4 linked regions of the Drosophila melanogaster genome follow. The protein of the gene in region 1 interacts with the protein of each later gene in a pairwise test. Each region holds a gene or a part of one and is shown on either strand. Other genes may lie near its edges. The genes, in order: Cul2, ClC-a, Doa and CG6923.

Evidence for each region.
Region 2: the proteins of Cul2 (region 1) and ClC-a interact in a two-hybrid assay, tested with the Drosophila melanogaster proteins (one large-scale study listed by BioGRID).
Region 3: the proteins of Cul2 (region 1) and Doa interact in a two-hybrid assay, tested with the Drosophila melanogaster proteins (one large-scale study listed by BioGRID).
Region 4: the proteins of Cul2 (region 1) and CG6923 interact in a two-hybrid assay, tested with the Drosophila melanogaster proteins (one large-scale study listed by BioGRID).

The regions. Positions count from the first base shown.
Region 1 is NT_033779.5:21,657,126-21,664,237, reverse strand, and holds Cul2 (cullin 2), read right to left. Parts: upstream 5,504-7,112; 5' UTR 5,277-5,503; intron 5,144-5,276; 5' UTR 5,085-5,143; coding exon 4,966-5,084; intron 4,399-4,965; coding exon 4,174-4,398; intron 4,116-4,173; coding exon 3,038-4,115; intron 2,891-3,037; coding exon 2,773-2,890; intron 2,709-2,772; coding exon 2,602-2,708; intron 2,155-2,601; coding exon 1,786-2,154; intron 1,721-1,785; coding exon 1,607-1,720; intron 1,550-1,606; coding exon 1,418-1,549; 3' UTR 540-1,417; downstream 1-539.
Region 2 is NT_033777.3:11,803,534-11,808,348, forward strand, and holds the start of ClC-a (chloride channel-a), read right to left. Parts: upstream 3,035-4,815; 5' UTR 2,821-3,034; coding exon 2,500-2,820; intron 1,077-2,499; exon of another isoform or gene 453-1,076; coding exon of another isoform or gene 183-452; intron 1-182. UniProt on the Drosophila melanogaster protein: Voltage-gated chloride channel. Chloride channels have several functions including the regulation of cell volume; membrane potential stabilization, signal transduction and transepithelial transport.
Region 3 is NT_033777.3:28,901,881-28,906,513, reverse strand, and holds the start of Doa (darkener of apricot), read right to left. Parts: upstream 3,037-4,633; 5' UTR 2,939-3,036; intron 876-2,938; exon of another isoform or gene 752-875; 5' UTR 707-751; coding exon 1-706. UniProt on the Drosophila melanogaster protein: Dual specificity kinase involved in the negative regulation of microtubule-based transport through phsophorylation of the microtuble-binding protein eEF1gamma.
Region 4 is NT_033777.3:11,744,024-11,751,900, forward strand, and holds CG6923 (uncharacterized protein), read right to left. Parts: upstream 6,007-7,877; 5' UTR 5,675-6,006; intron 5,466-5,674; exon of another isoform or gene 5,219-5,465; intron 5,003-5,218; exon of another isoform or gene 4,937-5,002; 5' UTR 4,867-4,936; coding exon 4,767-4,866; intron 4,712-4,766; coding exon 1,335-4,711; intron 1,271-1,334; coding exon 1,146-1,270; intron 1,085-1,145; coding exon 916-1,084; coding exon of another isoform or gene 889-915; 3' UTR 460-888; downstream 1-459. Other genes in the region: CG43062 (uncharacterized protein), read left to right, coding at 6,352-6,876.

The sequences.
Region 1 (7,112 bases):
AAATATTGGAATCATTTTATCAGCGGGAGCTGTGGCACTCAAAAACAAGATAAAATTATTATTAACGAATTGTATTACAGTTACAGCTATTACATCCAAAATGCTTTTAAGTCGTTGAAGGCAGTTGTTTTCAGGGTATGGCCATGGATTCAGAAGCGTTAAAAAGATTTTTATGGGACCGCTTTTTTTATCGCGAAACAAATTACAATCATGTTCTACCGAATTTATCAAAACAAATTAATGTTATCAGCGACTTAAAAGTATTTTTTATTTATTCCGTTCAATGAACTAGTGTTATTTGATATAGGAAGTTAATAATTTTTATAATTAACTATTAAGTTACATATACATATTTGTAAAATTAATTAATTTACCATTATGATATATATTTTTTAGAAAAGTAGCACAAAAGAAATAAAAATGACTAAAAACAAATATAATCCACGGCCCTTGGGTATTTAATATATACAAATATTGGATTTCTTGGCAAAGGCGAAACTTAAATGGTTACTGAACATACGTACAAGGTATTGTAAATTAATAAAATCGACATTCTAAGATTAGTAAAAGAATTTAAGGGAATTTTATATTTTAAACCAAGGTCCAATAAAATGTGTGAGCAAAAACAAAAAGATGGGAAAGTCCTTAAAAGCTCTTTTAAAACAAAATCTAAGAATCTTAGCAATCTTGAAAGTTTCGAAAAATGTTTGCTTTTACACTTTCTTTGGCACTTTGACAACTCAAAGCTCAATATACGATATGCCAATTTGTAGGTGGTGGTACGCCTATTTCTACCCGGATTCGTTATTAAAAAGTACTAGAAAATCAAAAAATTATAAGAATGGGATTCCGGACAATAGATCCAGTTTTTTCCGAGACGACCAAATAAAAAGTACAGATCTCTATCCGCATACTTAAACTGCAATGCTGACTGCTTTTTGCACAGCATTCATTTATGTAAATTTGAAGTGTACAGTGGTACAGCGTTAACGCACAGGATACGAAATACTTTGAATGACATATTTTTAGACATTTTTTGGGATTTATTATACATTTTCCAGCACATTATTCTGGTTTGTGCGTGTGTTAATAAAACCAGATAAATATACAATACATAAAGAAATATATTATATCTACAATTGAATAGGACACACGCATTAAATCAAAATGGATCAACTAACTAAGCTAAATTAAAAGTATCAGTAACGTCGTTTGATTTCCACACACCTTTCATACCAATATGCTATGACCACAAAAATAACAAAACTCAAATTGCTTGACCTTTTGATTTCTTTTTTTAACATTGTAGGTAGTTCTTTTTAGACAAAATAAGCCGCTTGGTTAGCGTCAGTTGTGTGTATGGGAGGTTGTTGTCCGGGAAGGTTCTTGTTTAAGAATAAAAAATCTCTACCGCAGTCTATGCCATGTAGCTATATTCATCGCCCGAGTTCGCCGTTCGCTCAATATATTGTTTGTCAATTAATGACTCCACGCATTTCTTGATCATTGCTATGTTGGGAGTAAAGCTAACCTTCGATAAAGAGAGAACCTAAAGAAAAAATACATCATGTAATTTTAATTCACAGTCAGGTGTTTTAGATATTACCTCTTGTATTAAGGCATTGTGCTTTAAGACTTTACGCGCTTTCATAATCCTTACAATGGCGGCTTGTAGAAAGAGTTTTCGGTCCTCATCTACCGAGTTAATTGTGTGCTCAACCTACATAAATAACGTCGTTAGAAAACCAGGTACCAGGTAACCAGGTTGAAATCGAAATGCCTTACCTCCTGTGGCGTTTCTTTTTGCAAAGCCGAACTTATTTTAAACTTTGTACGCTTATTTGTGTAATCCAAATTTAATTCTATTCGAGTCTCACCGGCGAGATTCTCTGAGCTGGCATTTAAAAGCTTTGACTCGATAATAGGCTGCATGTGCTTTTGAAACGTTTCGTCGTTTAGCTGTAAGGTGTTCTGGATCTCCCGACAACTCAGACTATCACAAGTCTCGAACAGCAGTATTATCGCCATCTGGTATGTTTGCATAGTCACGATATAAGATTTTTTCAAATGGCTCAACTTTAATTCTCCATGACACATGTGATGTAGCCAAGTCAACTTCCGGCCACTAAATAATTTATGATAGTAATCCTCGAACTGAAAAATCATAACAAAGGTACAGTACACGATTAACGTATACATTTAAAATTTCTGAAGTACCTTCGACAAAGTCACACGGTTTAAGATGTATTTGGACCAAAAGAAGTTGCGTTTTGATTTGGTATGCTAAAGTACCTTTATTGAAATAAAGATACTTTTAACTTTCTATATGTCACACATTTCAAGAGAACACCTTACGATGTAGTCGTCGATTTGAAGGAAAGTTTTTTACATAAAGGTTTTTCTGTATTTATTATTATATATTATTTGTATTTATTGCTGCTTTAAATATTTATATATGTTTCTGAATATTGTTAAAAGGCCTCTCTTTAAAAATTTGACTAAATAAAGAAAGTCTGAAAAAAATTTTTTATAACTTTGGTTTGTCAAAGGCAGCTTCTATCTCGTTTTAAAATAAAATATATACATTTACGAAAAACGTACCATTTTAATAGATTTTTCAAATTCCTGTGGTACTGCAAATGGTATAACTTGAGTAGATCCCAAGGGCCACGCGCCCGCCTGCAGTACCTTAATGGCAAGGTTGATGCCTGCATAGAAATACACATACATAAAAATAAACTATCTTTAATGAATATACATTTTCCGTCTCACCTAAGTCCACATTGCTATCCTTAAGGTGAGTATTAAACTTGTTGTTCAGATCTACTGATACCGATATATCCGTAAACATGCGATGAAGTTTATTGGTAAATTCATAACCGCAGGCTTGCTGTAAGTATTAATAAAAGAAGATCTATTTAAGCTAATGTAGTTTTGTAAAAGGGTCATAACAAATTAAAACAGCATTAAAAATAAATAATTCACATTATTGCAGTTATTCACTGTGAAGTACATTTTAGACTAGCAGACCACGCACCTTCAAACGATTGATCATTCCCTCCTCCGCATCCATGCTCTGACTTTGCTCGTGGATTAGGCGCTTGGCTAACAGTCGGCTATAAAACTTTTGATACACATCCTTATCCTCGATATATTTAAATATGGTTATGTTGTTAGTAAGCTTTTGATCGATCTCTGCCTCGCAGGTCTTAGACTTTTTCAGTAGCGTATCACAGTATTTCGCCACATACTCGGCACTACGGCAAGGCTGCCGCTCGGTTGGCCGGCGATTGATAACGCTGGCGCACGCCTTGTCTAATGCGCTCAGGAATAGAGAATCGTTTTCGAAGACGTCTGCGATCAGCTCTTGGTACTTGTGATGTACCTTCAACATATTCTCTACGAACGCAATATGGATGTTTTCGCCCTTCAGCGCAGATACGGTCTGCAGACCTTCACTTTTGATGTGATCGAGGAAGGTGGTTATGAGCTCAGACTTGAGATTATCGGGTATGGGCTTTAGTACGACGTACATGTTGCGTAAGTCTTGGCGCCGCTCCTCTGAAACCATTTCGCGGCACTCCGAGTAGATGAAGCCCAAACGATCGTTAATAAACTTCTCCTCGCACTCTTTACGTAGTTTTGGCAGGGAACTGACGTGTAAAAACTTTTGGGCTCTCCGGCTTTCATATTCCAGTATCCGGATAACCTCCTGCATGTACTCCGACACTGAGCACCGATGGAGCAACTTGTTAGCCTCGTCTGTGTAGTAGGCGCCACTGGCCTCCAGCATGGGGCCTTCAAAGAGTTCCTGGTAGAGCTTAAGCGAGCCTGTTTTCTTATAGTCCTGTACCTCCACGAAGCTGTGTATCACTCCGTTGATAATTTGCACGCGATGGTGATCCAAGGTGCCATTGCTAGCTCTGTCTGCGGCAATGCCCTCGAGTATGTGACGGACCAGTTCGCTGGACAAGTACTCAATCATATACAGGCGCCAAATGTCTAGACCTAGCTCGCCAATCTCCATCTGCTCCGCAGCATCGCTTGACAGATTACCGTAGAACGATTCCGTATCGGTAATCTTTTGTTTCTTGATGTGTTGTTGATTCAGGTAGCTAAAGGAAATTAATTCCAACGATCATTGAGTTATTACAGACTTCGATGCATTCTTACATGTACAATTGGTGCAGATACTTGATACCCTGGCTATATTCCATCCAGGTGATGTAGTAACGCTGGAGAAGGTCTGGGCCACCATTGGAATGGGAGCATTCTCCCTCGATCAGCACCTTTTTGGCCAGCATCTCCTGGACGTGCTGCTCAAGAAAGTGTTTTGTTTCGCCATAAAGACGATCAGCCATCGGTTCCGGCTGCGCCACGCACAGTGTGTAAACGTCGCTATATGTTAAAGGAATGTGATTGGAAAGACAGATGTATTAGTGCTCGTTATTTTAGAAATTTTATTTTGGCAACTCACGCTTCACACATATATACGAACAGTTGCGGTCAGAATAAAAGCAGCCTGCGTTACACTGTTTTGATTATTAATTTTAAAAAGATACGTCATCGATCTATTTAATATTTACTTGAACTTAGTTTAACCTTTAAGCGGTCAAAATATTTAAATTCAAGCTAGAAAACAGGCATTTATTATTAAAACTATGATTGCATTTATCAAGATTCTACGACATTTACCAAATCATTTTCGCCTCGCTAGCAGCTATATTTGTGAATTTTGCTGTTGAATAAAATATATAGTTGAACCGCTAGGTACTAGTACATTCATAGTTTACCAACTCAAATGCAAAATAATGTGATTGAAACCATTACTTATGTTGGATTAATTTAAAAGTTAGTTAGTGTTATTTGTGTTTCTTCTGAGTTGGGTAACTTTGTAGTCTCTAGTGACCTATCACAATATCTCTCTCCAGGCTGTTTAATACTCCGACCGTTGCCAAGACGTACCTGAAGCTAGTATTCCACACCGAGCGCTCCACTTTGGTGAGCGTTATCACCGACTCGGCGATGCAGCGCAGGCGCGGCCAAACATCGACAAACTCCACTATTTTGGGCTTGAGCGACATGTCAAATGGGTCTTAGTCCTAATCCGTGGTCCGTCTGGATATGGATTTGGAAGGGTTTTCTGATGGGACAGGGTGCACGCTAATTAGAACGCCGACTGATTCTGCCTTCGCAAATATAACAATGGGCGACCGAGCGACCCTCATGCGTTGGCAGAGACCACTTCTGCTTTGCTTTTTGGCATAATCGCTTACTTTTTGCGTGGGGGCCACCAGGCAAATGGCCTTGTCCTCGAGCAATTGCACAGCAGGCCAATTACCGCTTGATGGATCGTGGAGGGGCGCGCTTGCGACCTACTCACCTGCTGCTTAGCTACGCTATTTACTAAATAATTACGCCGAGAATTTAGTTATTTTTGCACTTTTTTTTTGGTATCGTGAAATGGTTTGTCAGACGAAGACGATATCGATATAATCTATCGATATTTGAACTCGACAAAAAATTCGATGTAAAAAGAATGTCGTGTCTCCACTACCGAAACGTTTGCTTTTGTTTTGATCTTAATTTATTGTCAACGCCGATCCACTGAACAAATTTTTTACCTTCCTGCCTAAAAACTGGCCAAAGCCATTTTCTTAAAAAACTGTAAGTGCACAAACCTAAATTGATTTCATATGTGAACTGTAATAATGTTAGGATTTTTTATGATTTTCGTTTTTTTCGATTGCTTATACGTATTGCTATTGCTCTCGAGTGCCAACCTTTTTGTTCAAAAGAATATACATTTTCAAAAGATTTCAAAAGTGAGTTAAGGGTTATGCCTTAAAGGTAAGTGTATGATCTAGAAGAATGATCCATTTTGTACAGACCGAGTTTTAAAGGTCTAAACTGTTAAGTGCCTAGATGTGGCTTTCGAAAAGGCAAACAGAGATACATACAAAAAAATACAAATACAAAGAGATAGATACAAAATAAATACATGTTTAATTACTAAGAAAATATATAAAGGCTAAGATAAACAAACGAAAAAACCATTAAGCTTAAAGAAACAAAAATTTACAAAATGTATAGCTCAAAAAATCAGAAAGTCTCATATTTGTCAATGGCTAAGATCGTTGAGCGCCAAATTTTTTTAGTTGTCTGTTGGTTGTCAGTCGATTGGAACTTTTTTATCCACCAAACCGGAAATTTACTCCAAAGAATAAATTGGAGCCACATCCACCGTAGCCGCCGGTGATCAATACTTGCAACCTTCCATATGCGCCAAAAATTGGCACATCGCCTACCACTATTTCCAGCCTTTGTAGCTTCCAAAGGCCATCCACACATTTCACTTTGACCTATCCAATGTAGCAGTCGTCGATCCAAGTGTGATACCATATACTGATGGAGAAATGGATTGAGATGTAAATGATGTAAAAAATAATTAATATATATACCGAGAATTATTTAAAGAATTCGGACTCCGATTTACCAAAAGGTGTGATGTTCTAAGCATTTCAAAACATTTAAATTTTTTGTCTTTGTGTTCGCTTTAACATTGCTTACATTTTCAGTGTTGTGAGACGTCGGTGGTTATCGACTTTAGTGTTTAGAGCTGTGGCATGGGGGGTACTCCAGCCTGAGGAAAGCCTGAGCCATCAGCACGGCAGACGTTTTGTATTTATTTCTTAATCGTTATTTGGAGGTGAATTCCAAAAAATTAAATAAACTTCAAATTGCACGGTATCTTAAAAATGTTGTAATTTCATTATTTGTGTAAAAAGTTTGATTACAATTTAATCCACAGTTTTCGTGGAGATATAATTTTTCTGTGACTACACGCTTTTTACATGCATTGTTTTCGAAACTGGGATAGACAACAGCCAACATATGTAGATACATGTAAATTAAAATTTAAAATTTATTTATCTTATCTTATCCTTAATTTGAAAATGTTCACAATCTCGTCCGGACTTAGACTGATTTTCTAAATCTAAATCCTAATCCACTCAACCTAGAAATTTTTTAGAATTTTCTGGAACTTCAAATATGTTTAGGATAAAAGCTTTATACTGAAATTATTTCACAGCATTGTGAAATTGAAATTT
Region 2 (4,815 bases), on another chromosome or scaffold:
TAAGTTCACTTGGTTACTTTCGCTTATTTTCCACTTCACTTTTGGAATGGGAACCGTGTCATGGATTATTTTCGATATGATGGAACTACTTCAGGGTTATTTTTTTCCAGTGCTTAAAAGGGTTGACGATGGCCGTTGGTCCAACGCGGATGAAATGGGCAGGTGGCTCGTAGGCCACTCACATAGTAGAACGCCTCGATCTCGATCTCGATCTGGTTCTTATCATCGCCGGGCGGATCGATCTCGATGCTCTGCTTGCGTTGCTGCTCCTTCTGCTTGGCAATGACCTCATCCCAGCGCTGGCGGACAGGCGTGGAGGCGGAGGATGCGGCTGTGGACTTCTGCGAGCGCTCCTCCTTGCGCTGGTAGTCCTCGCGATTGATCAGCAGCTCCGGCTCGAAGGCGTATTCGCGAATGTACTCATCCTGGTGCGAGTGGCTGTTGTTAAACATGAAGCAAGCGATGCACACGAACAATGTCCCGTACTCAAAATCACGATCAGATTCGAAATAGGAATCGGAATCGGAATCGGAATCGCGCACTCAGAATCGTAATCAAATTTTAATCAAAATTCACAGTGAGCACTGCAGTCGCACGGATCTGGGTGGCGGCCTTTGACATGCCCGCGGCTGTTGGCCAAATATTTGTGTCGCATCTTGTTTGGCAATTATTTTTAGGTTTTCGGTTATCTCGCGGATGCAGTGCAAGTTTTTGACTCGACTCGATTCGATTCGAATTGAATTGAGTCCCACTGCCAGACGTAATTAGAGGTGGACGCCACTGCCCTTGAGTCCCCGTCTAGGAAACACGGGTATTCTAAAATGCATTGCCATTTATTTTTAACATTTCTACACTGGGTCGTGGTCGGTTTACGGCTTTGCCGTATTCGAATAAATTTGATTTATCGCTGCGATTCGATCGGAAAATGCACACAAAACACCTCAGTATTTGCCCATATATTTTGCAAATTATTGGCACTTTTTAATGATTTTCATTATCTATTGATTTTTCCTTTTTTGATTTACCGACCGAGCCACCGAGCGTTCTTGTTTTGACCCAAACTTTTTTGAAACTAAACTGACTTGTCGAGCTTTCGGCGCTCTTTGTGTGGAAAATTATTGAAATTTCTTTTGGCTAGACGCTGCGGCAGGGTAGCACGCTGTGCCGATATTAAAAAATGGCCAGAAATAAAATGAAAAACTGGCCGAGCGATGTGTAAACAAAATATGAATCTTAGCATTGTTTTCCAAATCCGCTCGTTTGGCAATCAAAGCCAAATTCTTTGGTATTTCGAAATGGTTCATAAACTTAATTGCACGATATGGGATTATCAATTTAAGATGTGCTCATGAAATGAACTACACGTGTGTGATTTAAGTGCTCGGGAGTTTTCAATTCGAGTAATGGGTATACGAAAGTATTCAAATCTCACCTACGACTTCCCGATACGGTCACTCTTTTTCGCCACCCTACTACCTTTAGCAATGGAATCTTTGTTGCTTTCTTTTTTTTTTTTAAATATAATAAACACTTTTCGTTATAATCGGATTAAAAATAGCTAATGTTTTTGCCTGTTTTGTCATTTGTACACTGTTTTTGCATTGCTTTTACAAAGGCCCAGATGCGAATAGAAGTGGGGAAAATCGCCAGTGGCAACTGGCAGGAAAAGCGGCGAGCGAAAGCTTGGAAAACCATTCAGAAATCTAAAAAGTTTTTGTTTTGATCGATGGTTTCACGGCAGATGTACGAAACGGGCGTGACGAAAAATGCTTAAATAAATAAAGCAGACTTTTCAACATTGTTAAATTTGCAATAATAAACAATGCGAACGTATCGATTGATTGGATATCTTATAAGGTGGCAGTGATTTTTCCATTTTTAATCTAGTGATTGTTTTACAATATTTGAGATATTGTATTTGAGCTTGTATAATTTCATAGATGTAATTCAAATATTTTACTACTGCCTCTACGTGAGCAATGGAAAAAATTTCGACGCTCTTTGCGTCATCAAAAAGGGGTAATAATAATAAGAAAGTCGGATAATCAGACAAATTGGCATTATAATCACGGCTATTCGCAGACGTACCTATATTTATATCTTTATACATACACCTGCGGCTAAAAATTGCGAAAAAATTATAATTTTTAAGGAGGTTCTTTTGTAATACTCCAAACCAGACATGGAATATAATATTTCTTCATAATTTGAAAATTCGATGCTAGCAAAGGCTTTAAGCAATAAGCAAAAATTATCAAAAAGTTATATAATTGGAATGAAAAGGTATTTGTTCTCAGAACTTTTTTTTATAACAAAGTAAAACTTATGTTTTACCCAAACTACTATTCTGTTGACCATATGTGTATGAACTTGGCTAACACACAGCGAATGCAAGTGGGACAGATATACAGATAAGAACTTTATGACGTGCGTTATCAAACAAAGAATTAGATTTCCGTAACAGTAGCTATTGTATTACAAATCGCCAGTTGTGCTTACAAGAGTATCGATGTATCCGATGGGATCATCATCGTCCGAGGAGTCCGAATCCCGAGCATTTTCAGCTGGCGGCGGGCACGGATAGAAGGCGTGCGACTTGATCTTCGGATGCCGCTGCACGTGACGCAGTTCCTCCTCCATGGACATAGCACTGTTCCGCCGCTTGCGCAACTGGCAAATGAACTTCTCGAAGTCCGCCCACTCCGAGTCCACCAACTCGACGTTCTCCTCGCCAAACTCTTCATCGTGAATGATTCGCTCGACTTTCTGATTACTCCGATCGCGATTGCGATCGCGTTGCCGATCGCCGAAATAAACCATACTGTGCTGTTGTCAGTTCAAATGGGTTTTTAATGGGTTTATAGCAGTTGAACGCAATCGATGGCGCACTACTCGTATCAAAGATGGGATCGATACGGTTTCGTCACATCCATGGCACAGATATTTTTGCTCATTTCCCGTATTTGAAATCCGTTTGCGAATTCAATTCCCGACTGCATGTGAGTCGAGCAGTGTCTAAAGTCAAACTGAATAGTGTCATGAAGATAGAACGCTCCAGTCCCGCTTAAATTCAAGATTCCATTAAATTTAGTACACAGACACCGACGCACTCGTCTGCTCTTTCAGCAGTCTCAAGTTTGCGGATACTTGTACATATAGTTCCCACATTTGTATGTAGTATATCCATCCACTGACTCTCGAGCGGTCAAAGTTTGCGTGTAAACATCAATAGAATTTCATAAATTTAATAATCTGTGGACGGGTCCAACGGCAAAAAAGTGAAAATGCCAAGCGCTTGGATGACACGAAGTGCGGTGCACAGTGGGCATGGTCTTATTGTCTAGGTCAATCATAGGTTCCATCGAGGATTGCCATTGAAAATTGTTTTTAAATATGTAGATATTCCATTGCTATTGCCAATTATGCACTGAAAAGTAATAATCCTCACTATTTTCTTTCTAGAAAATAATGACTGATGCTCATTAGTCACTCCAGCTTTCTTGCAAGATATTGGCATGGCTCGACCCACTGTGACGGATCACTTAAGCCGCATAAATTGCGATTACTTGCTTTAATAGTCTCAATGTGTAGGCTAGGCATTGGGTCACATGTCTTCAAGAATCCGTTGGATTTATCACATTTAAGTATTAAAGTGTACCGGCTCTTCTGGCCCGTATTGTCTTAGTCAATCTACAACTTCTACCCCTAATTTGCGATAATGATAATGGCAACCCTAAATAGGTATAGATTGTTGGTCTGCGCGTAAATCGAGTACTCAGACCATAATCTTGAACTTTAATGACTTTCGGGAAATTGCTATAGGAATAGGAATTTAAGAGAAACCTATTAAAAACAAGAGAGAATGCTATGGTCGAGGTACTATCAGATGGGTATCTGACTGTCACTGTCACTGTCACTGTCACTGTCTGTCACTCAGCTGGAAAAGTGAAAGATTTCAACATTTTCTGTAATATCGGTGGAAAATGAAAAAAATATTAAAATTAATAAATGGGGACGTGGGAACATGTTACATGTTTATGGTTCTAGAATCTGTATACTTAATCTCAAACTTTTAGCTTTTATAGTTTCGGAGATCTCGACGTTCGTACGAACGGAAAAAACAGACGGGTAGGGCCAGATCGATACGGCTATTGATCCTGATCAAGAGTATATATACTAGGTCTATGGTCGGAAACGTTTTCATCTTAAGAAGTCTAGTATACCCTTTTAAATTACGAGTAACGGGTATAAAGAGACTGAAAGCTTATCTTTTGTCGCGAGCTGTTAGATATCAGCGCACTGCTTGACCCATTAAGCAGTGCGGCATTTTGTGTCTGTTAATTTATAAGTAGTTCTCATAGTTGTATTTGTATGATTGTATCTTAATATCTTATATTATTGTTTATATTTACATAATTCATCTCATCACATAGTCCGATTCAAATTTGTTTTAGTTGAACATTTTGAATTGACATAATGGGTCTTGAAAGATATTTACCATAAATTCAAACATTCCGAATCAAGGAAACCATCTGTCACAACGCATATAATTAACTTTAGTATAATAATTATTCCCTAAGTTTGTCTTTTGTGTTTCATGGCGCAAAAACAGTTGCAGAGATATTTGTCCGAATGAAATGATAATTTACGTACTTTTTTGTGAAACGCCATTTTCGAACTCATATGAAAGAAATTAGCAAGCTTGCGATAAAACAAAGTGATCTTGGCTAAAACCGTGTGGCGACTGGAGAGCCAGCATCTCAGATGGTGCTAGAAACACCTTTCGAGCCGCAAAATCCGCGATAAGGGTCCAAA
Region 3 (4,633 bases), on another chromosome or scaffold:
GATCTGGAGCAGCGCTCCTTTCGCGATTACGATCTGGCGAAATGGAACGCTCTCGACTACGATTGTGGGAACGGGCATCCCGAGCAGCTCGCTGCATTCTCAGCAGCTCAATCGAGTCAGCTATGTGAGAGGTACTCTTCTTAGGCGGTGAGTCATCTTTGGAAGAGGCCTTCGGCTGCGAAACGTTAAGAAGGTGCATCTCCATGGCATCATCTATGTTGCAGGGTAGCGAAGCAATGCGTTCTCTTGGACCTGAATTGGTTGGAAGGGAACCCTTGGTTAGTTCCTCTTCCTCATCGTTGTCGTCGTCTTCATCATCCTCCTGCTCCTCCTCTGCCTGTTGCCTGATGCGCCGTTCCTCCTCTTCCTGTTGCCTGCGTTTCTCGCTCTCCATCACCCGCTGCAGCTGAGCCTGCACCTCGAGGGCAGCACGTGCTCTGGCCTTGGACTCGGCCTCGCGGGCCTGACGAAACTGTTCCTGGGCAATTGCTAGAGCTTCCGCCTCCGCCTGTGCTCGAGATCTGGCCTCCGCTTCTGCGGCTGCTGCTGCCCTAAGTGTGGCCAAATCCGTGGCCGTCATCTGCTTTATGCTCAGGCGGCGCTCAGTATTGAGGATCAACTCCACCTGGGTGCTACCGCCCTGCGGCTTTTGCGCCGCGAGGTCTGGACAGCCAAGGGCGATCAGTTCGCTAAGTTCGTTGGACATTCCAAGGGGTGTGGTGAACTTTTCGGTTGATTGTCAGCTTTCTTTCTGGATCCCAAGGGGAAAAATTACTCGATTATCTAATATTGCACTGGCGGCTCCCTCGAATTGCGTTGGGTTCGACTAGCTGGGCAAGACTCGCGAGGCTGCCAATGTTGGCCCCAAAGGAAACCTGCGCAACATCGGATTATTTCGTATTGGTTCTATTCGGATCAGATCGGATCGGAACAATCGATCGCACGCTCAATGTCAATGTCTCATTGGCATTTTGGCAAATGCCCGACGACTTGACTTACTAATTGTATCAATGGTCGCCGTTCGACCAAAGACTGCTTCTTTTTGGCGCCCATATACATCCGACATATATATGGGTACAAGCATGTATAGCACCCCCAATTTGTTTTGGTATATAGAGCAGAGACATATACAAATTACAAATCGTAAACAGCAATGAGCTCATTGATCGCGGCGCCGCCTCATCAAAAAGCAAACCCCCTACCCCTTTGCGATTCTAGCCAAAAGATCTGCACCTTGCCCTAAATCTATTGCGATGTGTGGAATATGTGTGAATATCCCTGGAGAGATCGTTTTAGCCTATGTGTGATATCTCGGTGGGGTTCATTGGGCATCTTTCCCTGCCATTCTGTGTTCGGTTCGAAATCTGTTTTTATTTTTAACAAATGGACGACGTTATACCTAGTACACAGTACGTGTGACGCTAGTGCCAGTACAGTGAAACCTCGATCAGCCATGCAAATTGAACTGACAGCTCTCATTTGGAAGATGCATCTCTGATCTCTGATAATCACATTCGACTGATTGGATTTTTTAATTCACTTTGAGTTTCCATTAATTTTCTGATCTTTGCTGAGCTCTGGCTTAGCTTTCACTGTACCGAAAGCACACACATTCGAGTTGGAAAATCTGAAGGGGAAAAGTTTTCCACCCCAGTTGACTTTTATTTTGGTTGGCATCATCATATGGCCAAAATTTAATCATGTACAAGTTTGTGTCTTGGATTTTTGCTATAAGTTTGTTGTGGCAACTAAATATAAATGCAAGCCTTACGAAAATAGCTTTCGAAAATTATAGAAAACGCCAGCTAAGCGGAAAGTGGAGGATGGAGGGCAGCGGAAGGAGACGCCGGAGCGGCGGAGATCAACATGATGATGATGTGGCAGCCTGATGAATAATCCCGCCGATCTGTAGCGCACATATAGATAGTTTGTATCTATGTGGCACACACACTAACGGACACACACGTGTGTGCTCCATTTGTTAGTTTTGAGTTTTTGTTTTGATTTGCTTGGCCGCTGCGTTGTCTTCTTCGCCTTCATCTCCGAGTACACAGAAAACATATTCACCATATTATCTAAGCACAATAGTAACTAAACTGTTTTTACTTGTTGACCCTTAAACTTTTGGAACATAGTTAACAAAGAAATATGGTTTGAAGATATATATCATTCCATAGTCCAAAATGTTTTTAAACTATCTTCATTTCTATCTGTGTATTCGATTGAGTGAATGTTGCACTAGTCTCCTCCATCCCCATACGCTATTTCTATTAAAAGTATCTTTCGCCTCGCTAATTGCAAACTTGGTGGAGAAGTGCAAAGTTCACTATCAGCGTTTTGGACGTTTCACAGCTGCTCATCAGGCTGGATGGTATCCCACTTGATATTATTCCGAATTATACACTCGCCACCATTGGCGGGGGGTCAATAAAACAGTTTGGCTATGGTATCTTGCATCGCGTTTTGTTTAAACAAATACAGTCCGATGAATATCGCGCACTTTTTTTTAACACTCAGTGTTTTGTTTGATGTTTTTTTCGCTTTCGACAATTTTGTTCTTGCCGCACTGCTACTGTTTTATTTTTAAAACACTTAAATGTTCTAAGTTTTGGGTTGTTTTTTGTTCTTGCGCTTGATTATGTCACGGTGCCCAGCAATTGTTCTACCTATCCTATCGTTCCGAAATGCGTTTCTATATTGCACATACGCTCCGTATGTACCTCTAATTATTGTTCTATTCGATTATTTGGTGTTTCTCAGCCAAATACAAAAAGAAAAGGAATATTCAAAGCACAAGAAACGCACACACACCACACACGCACACACACACATCGATAAACAAATTGCGCGAAAGGAGACGATCAATATAGAGATCGGGGGGATCTGACCGGATAGAGAGAGACAGCGAGTGTGCGGGGGATCCCCGTGGTACCCGTACCGTTACACGACGAAGACGAAGCGACGACAATATGTAGTTTATATGGTTTATATGGCAGCAGTGGCGGCGACACACAGCCAACAAACGTAGATTTCAATCTGTTTCGGTTTCCTCGAATTTGAAAATTCTCAGCCGAAAACTGGCCGCAGATGAGAAGAGCGCAGACTTTCGGCGGCGCGTGTATTTATAATTTTCCAATGGCCACGGAGCAAATGGCAAGTAGATGCTTTTCCGCCGGATGAAGCTGCGCGCGCATCTCCGAGAAAGAAGTATCAGCTGTGCGCCATGGGCCATAGGTAGTTTAGACGAACATGCGCACAGTGCGGAGAGGAATCCCCAAGGCGTCGCTCTCGGGAGCCCATAAACATGTGTGTATTTGGGGGCATGATATAGACAGGGAGAGTGAGTGGGCACCGTGTAAAATCGGTGTATATAGCGGCGGTCAAAGCAGTAGCATTGCCAATAAATCATGCCAAAATTTCCAGAAGACTTAACATTTGTGTTTGCAGAAATTCGAATAATATATGGACGACCATTTGACTTGAATCGACATGTGTACATATATCACATATACAGATTATAACTAACAATTTTAGTTTAAAACAACGAAGGGAATTTGTTAGGATTACAATTACTACTGTACATATTTTTTTCCACAATATTTTTGAAAAAAGGTTGTGTTCCTATAAAATTGTAGGACCGACAATGCATCACGAGAAAACGAAAGATATTCGCCGACAATCTGTGACTCGGAATGGGGACGACTCACTAGATAGTCGTCATTGTGGTCCACAAAGTACTCCTCGATGATCCAATTGTCGCCGGCGTACTTGTCCACAGGCATATCGCTGAGGGCCACAAGATCAAAGTGATTACGTTGCCGTTTTAGCAGCAGGCAGCGGGTAATGGCCACGCTCTCTCCGTCACCGGGTGAAGCATCCTCCTCCAGATATGTTTCCAGGCCACAGCCATTCGCCCCATTCCGGATGATGAGCTGCTGCTCCAACTGCTTAAAATACTGAATCTTGGCGGCCTGGGGACTAAACGATGACGCGGAGGGAATTCTATGCGAGTTACTCAGCCCACTTAATTGGCGGCGACATGGGCAACTGGCAATGCTGGCGAGGAGCAGTTCGCATCATCCGCAGCAGCAATAGCAATATCTCATCACATCTCAGAGCAGCAAAGAAAACTCTGGCCGCCGTCAACGAGTTAATGTCAAATGATCAATTGAACGAAAATAACTAGAACAGCGGGGAGTGTTGGGCACAGGGGTAGCTATAAAGAACCACCAACAGTGAATGAGAACTATAAAGTTCTCGTTTAATTGAGAGCTGTTTTTCATACAGCTAGATGCCACGAAGAACGCATAGAAATTGCTTAATTTGCACATGAATATTGCCAAGGTTTCGCTTAACTGCTCTATTTAAGTACCATTTTATTACTGATGAATACAGCTCAAACCGAGTTTCCGCTCTAAGCTTTTAAAAAATGATTATCTCTTAAAATTTTGATTATATTTAAAGTGGCTACTGTTTTTTTTCAAACCTACACTTGAATAACAAAACCAATAGTTATTTGTAATTATGTAACATCTAAGTTTCTGAATTTCGACACAGTTTAAAGGCCTTGCCCAACCAAGTTACTTTGTTTCAAGTACTATCTTATCAACTCATGCTGCTCACTCAAGTGCTC
Region 4 (7,877 bases), on another chromosome or scaffold:
CCCCAAACAGAAATAAAGGTGTATCGTATTTTTATCGGTGGAATAAAAATCAACAGACGTTTATTGGATTATTTATTGATTTCTGCCGTCTTAGACAGCCAATTTTTAAAAGTTTTAGGAAACTTTCTATAATATAAAACCAACCTTTTTAAAATATGTTAGCTCAAGATTTAAAAAATTGCATCGAATCAATTCACTTATATATGGCACGTTATGAGATATTGAGCAATAATCCGTAATCTATTAAATTAAATAGATGTACTATATATAATTTGGTAATAGCAAAGACACTAGAATAGAATAGAATTATTCTAGGGTCTTTGGTAATAGAATAAAAGATTATTCTCTACATTTTTGTGACTAATCAAAACATAACAAAATTTGTTAAATAATGAGAGGAAATCGTCCAGATTTTAAGTCCTTCAAATAATTACTCAAGAAAAATGCAAATTGCCAAATCGATTTCTAATCGGTTAAGTTTAGGGTCCGATGTTATATTATTTTGTGTGATCATTAAAAATATAACAACAAGCTGGGGTCAAAGTTATCATATACGCCCGTCGTGGGAATTCTATACTATAACAATATACGCATATTTATGAAATTCTTATCACAAGAATTTTGTTTCACAAAACGTAGACAATTTGTACATATGTATAGGAAATTATTTGCCGAATCACTTAATATACTTAGACATAGAAATTGAGCCAAACAAATTTAGCTTTTTGATATCTTTCAGCGCAACACGGCAGCAAGCTGTGGCAACTGCCTTTTACATACGTTGCGGTGGGTTAAACATTTTAAGGTATGTATATAGGGGTTTTTACGAATATTTCATTCTTTGTTCTTGTATCGATGCATGCCGAGAACAAACTCAGTCTGAGGGATTTACATAAAGATGCCGTGCACACAATGTCATAATGCGGCGGAATTGGCGGCATCTGGGACTCCGCTGGAGCTGGGGGGAAGAGCGTCGTTGGGCATGTGTGTTTCGATGTCGACGCGACAAATGGGGCAGTGCTTGTTGGTGACTAGCCACTGATCCACGCAATCCGTGTGAAATAGATGCATGCACGGCAGGCGGCTGCAATTGTTATTTAATATAATTAGAGAACTTTATAAGGTAACGTCCACATTGAACTTACCGAACTTCGTTCTCTATCTCAAAGAGGTTTAAGCAAATGGCGCACTTCTCGGCATCCTCATCGGTCTCACTGGGTCTTCGGACGCGTCGATATTTGTGAGGCAAGGTATTCCGCTCAATAGTTTCCTGAAATAAACGTAAAAACTAATTAATATAAATAGGTATGACTTTGATTTCTATACGGCCTTACCAAAGTAGCTCCCCGGTTTGGACGTGATGGTGCGATAAGGATACGGGAGCCCAGAGATAGGGGGGCCAGCCCAATCTCCAGATGCAGTGGTGAGTAGTGGTGATGGAACATGTGGTGGTGTATGGCCCGCTGGCGCTGCATATGCTGCATTACTGGTGGCGATTGCTGAGCCTGCGGCTGCTGTTGGGGCTGAAGCTGCAGATGTCGCATACTCGCTTGTGCTGCCACGCTACTATTGCCAGAACCGGATGTAGCAGGCGACTGTTGTTGAGGAGATGGTGGAGGAGCAGCAGCTGCCGGTGCAGCGTCGTACGGCGGATAGTAAGCGGGATCCAGGCTTGATACGGGACCGTTCCGAGCATGAACACAACTGCAGATGCTATGCAGGTACCCGTTTCGCAGCGTGCTCGTTAATAGCGGAGCATTCGAAGAAAGATCGATAGGTGTGGGCGTCATGTGGCGACGGTGCATCTCCTGCATGCTTTGCTGGCGGTACCACAGATTTTGATGGACCGGATACGGTGGAGCCGGCGTCAGCGAGGTGGCCACTATGGCGCTGGCCCGGTGAGGGGGATGAATGTGGGCGTGCATCTGGTTCTGCGGTGCCTGGTGACCTTGATGCGGCTGCGGCTGATAGTGCTGTCTATTGCTATACGCAGCTTCGGAGCGTCGAACACTGAACGGCGGAGATCCGCAGTGCGGAATGGTGCTCCGTCCGGAATACATTTCAAGCGGCGGTGGTGGAGAAACAGCTGCCGCCAGGTTTGCATTTGATGCCACTCCTGGCGCTGGCGGATTAATGGATTGCCGCTGCTGGTGTTGCGCATGCACCATTGTATGTGGAGGTGTCCGGTTGCCTTCCAGGGCCGCAGCACGTCCCTCATTATGGGCCTGTGATAGCAAATCACTAAAAGTTTGTGCCTGTACCGCCGCCGCTGTGGCTGCCACTGCAGCCGCATTCAAAGCTCCACTCAAAGAACTGCGACTGCTTCCGCCTTGACTGGGCTGAAAATGAGGATGAGGGTGAGGGTGAGGCTGGAGACTCGGCGGGTAGTCCGACTCCACCACAGTTGGCAGCGTTGTTATCGCATAATAGTACGGATGGTAACGATGATACACGTTCGCCGGGCTACTTCGCCTGTGGCGGGATTGCTGCGTTGATGTCTGCTCGCTGGACGAGCTGCTTGGAGTGGATGTAAGATTTCTTTGCTGATGACGTAAGTATGCCTCAGTGGAAGAGTTGTCAGGCAGCAAAATTGGGGGCATCGGGGGCGGAGGTGGCGGGGGAGCGGGATGGCCTGGCATCCACATCGAGGATTCGTTTATCGGAAGGAAGTAGCGCTGTGGATCCATGTTGGAGCAGCGGGGCGGGTAAAAATTACCGGGGCCGGGATCCATCAGCTGGTCTAGCTCGTAGCTGTAATTGTGGTCCGAAATGGCAGCCCGATCAGCTAGAGCGCCACTATAAAATGCGAATGCAGAGGTGCCCTCATTATTCGCTTCTGTACGACGATCTGTCCTGCGAGCATAGGGGAATGTGTAAGCACAGTCATACATGGTCCTCCTATCCTCATTTGGATCCTCCGGGTTGGGTTGAGTGTCATTACGATATGGTTCCCGATCCCTTGCTCGCTCCCGTTCTCTTTCACGGCCCCTATCCCTATCCCTCTGCAGTTGCGTATCATTGGCCAAGCCATCGTCGTCGGATGTCAAATCGATTGAGAGTATGGGCTCACGAGTGGAGTGCACAAATACTACGTCATCATCATCATCGTCCGATGACCAATCATCCAGCTGCAAGTCTGGTGCCGTCAAGACTACGGAATCGGCGCGGGTCTCATGGCTGCCACGTCTTCCCGTGGATGTGGACGGAAGATTGAGATCCGCGGCGGGCTGACTATCTCTTGGCCGGCCGACGTACGTAATCACACAGGGCCCGTTCGAATTCGGCGTCGAGGATGGTGGAAACCGCACATGATGTTGCCCAGAACTGTTCCCTTGCTCCGCAAAGGTTCGGTGTCCTCTCCTTCCAGGATAGAACGAATTAAAATTCGTTGAGGACAGTTTGGAACGCGATCTTCCGGGCAGTTCCATGCGCGCATGTTTCCTAGGCGGCACTGAGTCGTCAGAGGGCCGCGCACGACTCCATGACATTCTAGACTCGCCGGGAACACCGTACATACTGTGCATGGGTTGGCCTGGTGACTGCTGATGACGCCGTTCTTCGTGAATAATCTCCTCCTGTTGTTGGCGCTGTTGCTGCTCCTGTTCTTGATCCGAGCTTGTGGACGGTGATCCTGTTGCAGCCGACCTTCGACCAATGCGAGATCCATAATCCACGCTACGTGTAGTATGGGTGGCCGTGGAGCAGGAGGCTGACCTAATGTAGGTACTATCCGGTGGAGCTCCCGCCACAGCGCACCGACTATTATAGTAGTTGTGATCCGTATGACCTATCTCGGCCTCGTCGGACCCCCTGCTACCACGGATAATCGTTACTGTGGGCTCAATTGGTGGAACGGGATTATGCACACGCAAATCCCAGCCATCATCGCTGCTCTCGTTTTCCGGCTCCAAAACCCTTGATTTGCGATAAGAAAATTGACTCATCTGTCGCTTTCTCGATTGGGCACTCGTGCTTGGCGTGGCATCCGTATCTACTGCTCTGGAAGAGGTGTTGGAGGCATTATTGGAGCGGCTGGCCTTCTTCTTGTGAGCCTGAACGGCAGACGTAGTCGTCGTGGTGTTGGTGGTACGCGTATGAGCAAACTGGCCGTGCTCCGTGTCCGAGGCACTCGATGTCACATCATCGTAAGCATTTACGGCACTTGGGGCGGTTTCGAAGGAGCTGTTGCTGAGCTGCAGCGAACTAGAGGGGACCTCGTAAACGACCGCCGTAGAGTCCATAGCATGCTCTTCTATAGCACCGGCAGGCCATGTGCCGCTGACGGACGCAACCACCGCGTCGCCGTCATTGTCACTCTCTGGCTCCATTGTCAGGGGTTCAGTCTTCTTTCGCTTGGGTCGTGGAATGGAATGAACAGCGGGCGGATTGGCGATCGCCGCTGTGGAGGATGAGGGCTGCTCCAAGAACTGAGCCTCCGAATGCGACTGGTTCTGTGTGGAGTCCGCATAGCGACTGCTACTGGCCACCATCGATTCGCAGCGGCAGAGTCCGTCCAGCGAACTGCACTTGTCACACCGCCTGGCCAAGCCCTCAAATCCAGAACTCTCTTCGCGACGTGGCTCCACCATGGCGGTGTACGTGGGCGGCGAACGGGTGTGGCTGTGGCTCTGCGAACTGGACAGGAAGGGCGTCATTAGCATGTAGCCCTCCGAATCCCTCTGCTGATTATAGTACATCGCATACTGGGAATCTGCAAAAGCACAAGAGGATTAGCACTATCTGGTTCCAGATGATGGCCAGCTTACGGTTTTCCTGTCCACCCGAACTGGTGGCCACACTGCCGTACGCCAAGGTGACCCTCGGCTGGTGGTGCAGCTCCTCCTGGTCGTTCTCCAAGCTATCCATTTCAGTCGTCTAGTGGGCAACGTTACCAGAACGGCAAAGGTGCGTTGCAGCGCATGCAGGCCAAAATGCGCTAAAATTGTGTATATGTACGAAAAAATGTTTAATTTACGGGTATGAGGAGGTACAACTGTCTAACAGAGACCAGTTTGCTTTTTTTGTCCGGAAACAGAAACAAAAACAAGCAGTGGGTTAAGTATTTGGGTTCCAAAGCTATTGCCAGCTATGTACTCTAGGTACTCCAAATGGAAATTCGGGGCTATTATTTGCACAGTTCTCGAGCGAGTAAAAACGATTTAAAGCTCAAAATAAAGTTTGAAGACGGAAATTTTTTCTTTGCTTGTCAAATACACACTCTTTTGTCAGCACCACTTTTCCGTCAAGTTTTTCATCGCCGTTAGCAGGAAATTCCAAAGCTACGTGGGGAAAACACAAGCGCCGCAGTGAAAAGTGAAAACTTTTTATCGGATTCCATGCACTGGGATGATGGGGGTTTCCACGGAAGCTCTAAATAACTTATGACAACTTATTACTAATTAAGTTCAGCAGTTCTTTATTTTAGCCAACGCAATAGGGATGAGCGTTGTATCGATATGTCAGCATATCGATATGTCTAAGCTGATATTAAGCTGATGCGTTTATTTTGTATTAACTTAAATTAAAATTTACGAATAACATTCAGCTTTAAGTATATTGAATGTTTCGATACTATTGACTTCAATTTGGGGAAAACGCCAAATCAGCTGTTCGGCTGTGGGCAAACTATGAACAGCTGTTCAATGATAACAAATGTCCCCAAAATAATTCTTACCTCTATTATATGTGTAACACAGAAATATTGCGATTTTGGTAATTTTCTTAATTCCTAAAGCCGGGATTACGCGAATAACCGGGTGGGGATTTCCGATTGGGCAAAACAAAGAGAGTGGGTGGTGGGGGTTGGCAGGCCAACAGCTGCTATTGGGGAACACAAGGGAGTTTAAATGCAATTCTTTTCGCGGGGGCGGGGGACTATTCTCATTCGCAGCTGCTGTCCGGAACAAATTTACATTATGCACATGCAAATTTGCGATATATATGTTCTCACGATTTAATCATTTTGTATGTGTTACTGGATTTTATAGCAGTAACAACACCGAACTGAAATATTTAGACAACTTTTTCTTCGACGGTGCAAAAACTTGCAGTTCGGCGATGATGGCGATACTATCGCATAGAAGCTAGCTAGCTCTTTCGTAGACTAAAGTTGCGCAGTATGGCCACACTGATAATTCAAATATTTTGGCACTAAATATACCGTTAGAAACTATACTACCACTACTTACCACTGTTTAGGGAAGCTTAATATATACATACAAAGAAACTCTTAGTTGGAAAGTTGCGAATCATAATTATCTGGTTTTTAATGTTAATCTTAATTAAACTGTATTACATTTTCTAGTTTTGCTATCACAAACATAGTTTCCTTCATTTTCTTTTCATGTAAACATGGGAATAAGCCCACAATGCTGGCCAATCAAGAATAAGACATTCGTGTTTTTGTGCCGGGGCATACACGAAAGAAGGTCAAAGAAAAAGACACTTTCAACGTATTATACTCTTCCCCATTACCACAATCAGGACGAAAACCACAAGTACGCCTTTTTCCATGTGGAAAACGATTCTCGAGTTTTCTTCATTACAATTGGGAGAAGCCGGCTAAACAATCTCGATTGGTTTCTAGTGGATAAATGGGGCAAATTCATTCGAAATGGGACATCAGTCTACGATTACCACACGGGCTTCGAGTGCGTGTACAAAAGGATCCATTTCTTGGAGAGACTGCTTAAAGAATGCTTGGCTAAGCAAAATTCCACGCAAAGGAACAGCACGAATCCCGAGTTGATGGTTCTACACTTCCCGGAAACGAAGGCACCAACCTACCACATGGTATCCATTGGAGACAATACGCGGTGCTTGAACTGGGTTATCTGCCTGCTGGGACTGGTTATACTTCTCTGCTGCCTGAAATAAATCCATATGCACAGCACAAGCCTTAACATATCATGTATTTAGTGTTTTTATTGAGTTTTTATATGTATAAAACAATATCTACTCTTTCTTTTATTGCTGGCTTCGTATTCTTTTCTCTTGGCTTTCGTTTCCAATTCTGTTTAGCCATAATTTTAAAACCAATTCGCTTCATACAAATATTCCTTGATTAAATCGGTCAGCTAATCAATTATCTGCAGGATTTCCCCATATTCTCGTTGGTGTTCATTTCTCGAAAGCTGCGCTGACCAGTGTAACGACTTAAGTTTAACCATTGGCTTAACGGACATTTTCTAAACCAAGGTGCTGTTTGTTTGAGTGTAGTTTTATCGGATTTTAAGCAGCGCTGCTTGTAAATTCAACTCATAGTTATTATTTGTTTTTTTTTTGTTTCGTTGCGAAACACTCCTCACAGTTTTACAAACAAACGAAAGCGATAGTTTCCACTTCAATACTTCAGTTTCAGTGCAACTTTGATTGCTTCTGTAGGAATTCATTGCATGAATAGTATAAATTATTTGGACGCTGTTATTATTATTAGCAAATGTTCAAAACTTTAACCAAACCCAAAACGAGGCCGTTGGCAACTTTTTTTGGCAGCAGCGTTTTGAGCTAAAATTATGAACAATCATTTATGATTTCATATGTCTGCATTTAACTTTATTTTTTGTGGTCAGTTTAATTTTTCGTTTATTTTGTTTTTGTTTTTTGGAAGTTTTTCGCACAAGTTGCTGTTGGTTGGAAAAATAGAAGAATTGGTGTGTATGCAGCATGCACTTGACATTGATTTCGTGGGACGTAAACAAATAAGGTCTGTGGAAAATGATACTCCTCTTATCAGTAGATTGAAGTGGTTGTTGATGGCACAGCGTCATTTGATAGATAGATTTCTTCAGGTGCATTTACATTTACATTTTATATCACAATTTTTTAAATATTATAGGTGTATGTATTTAACAAAATTGGTTTGCGTGTTATTATTT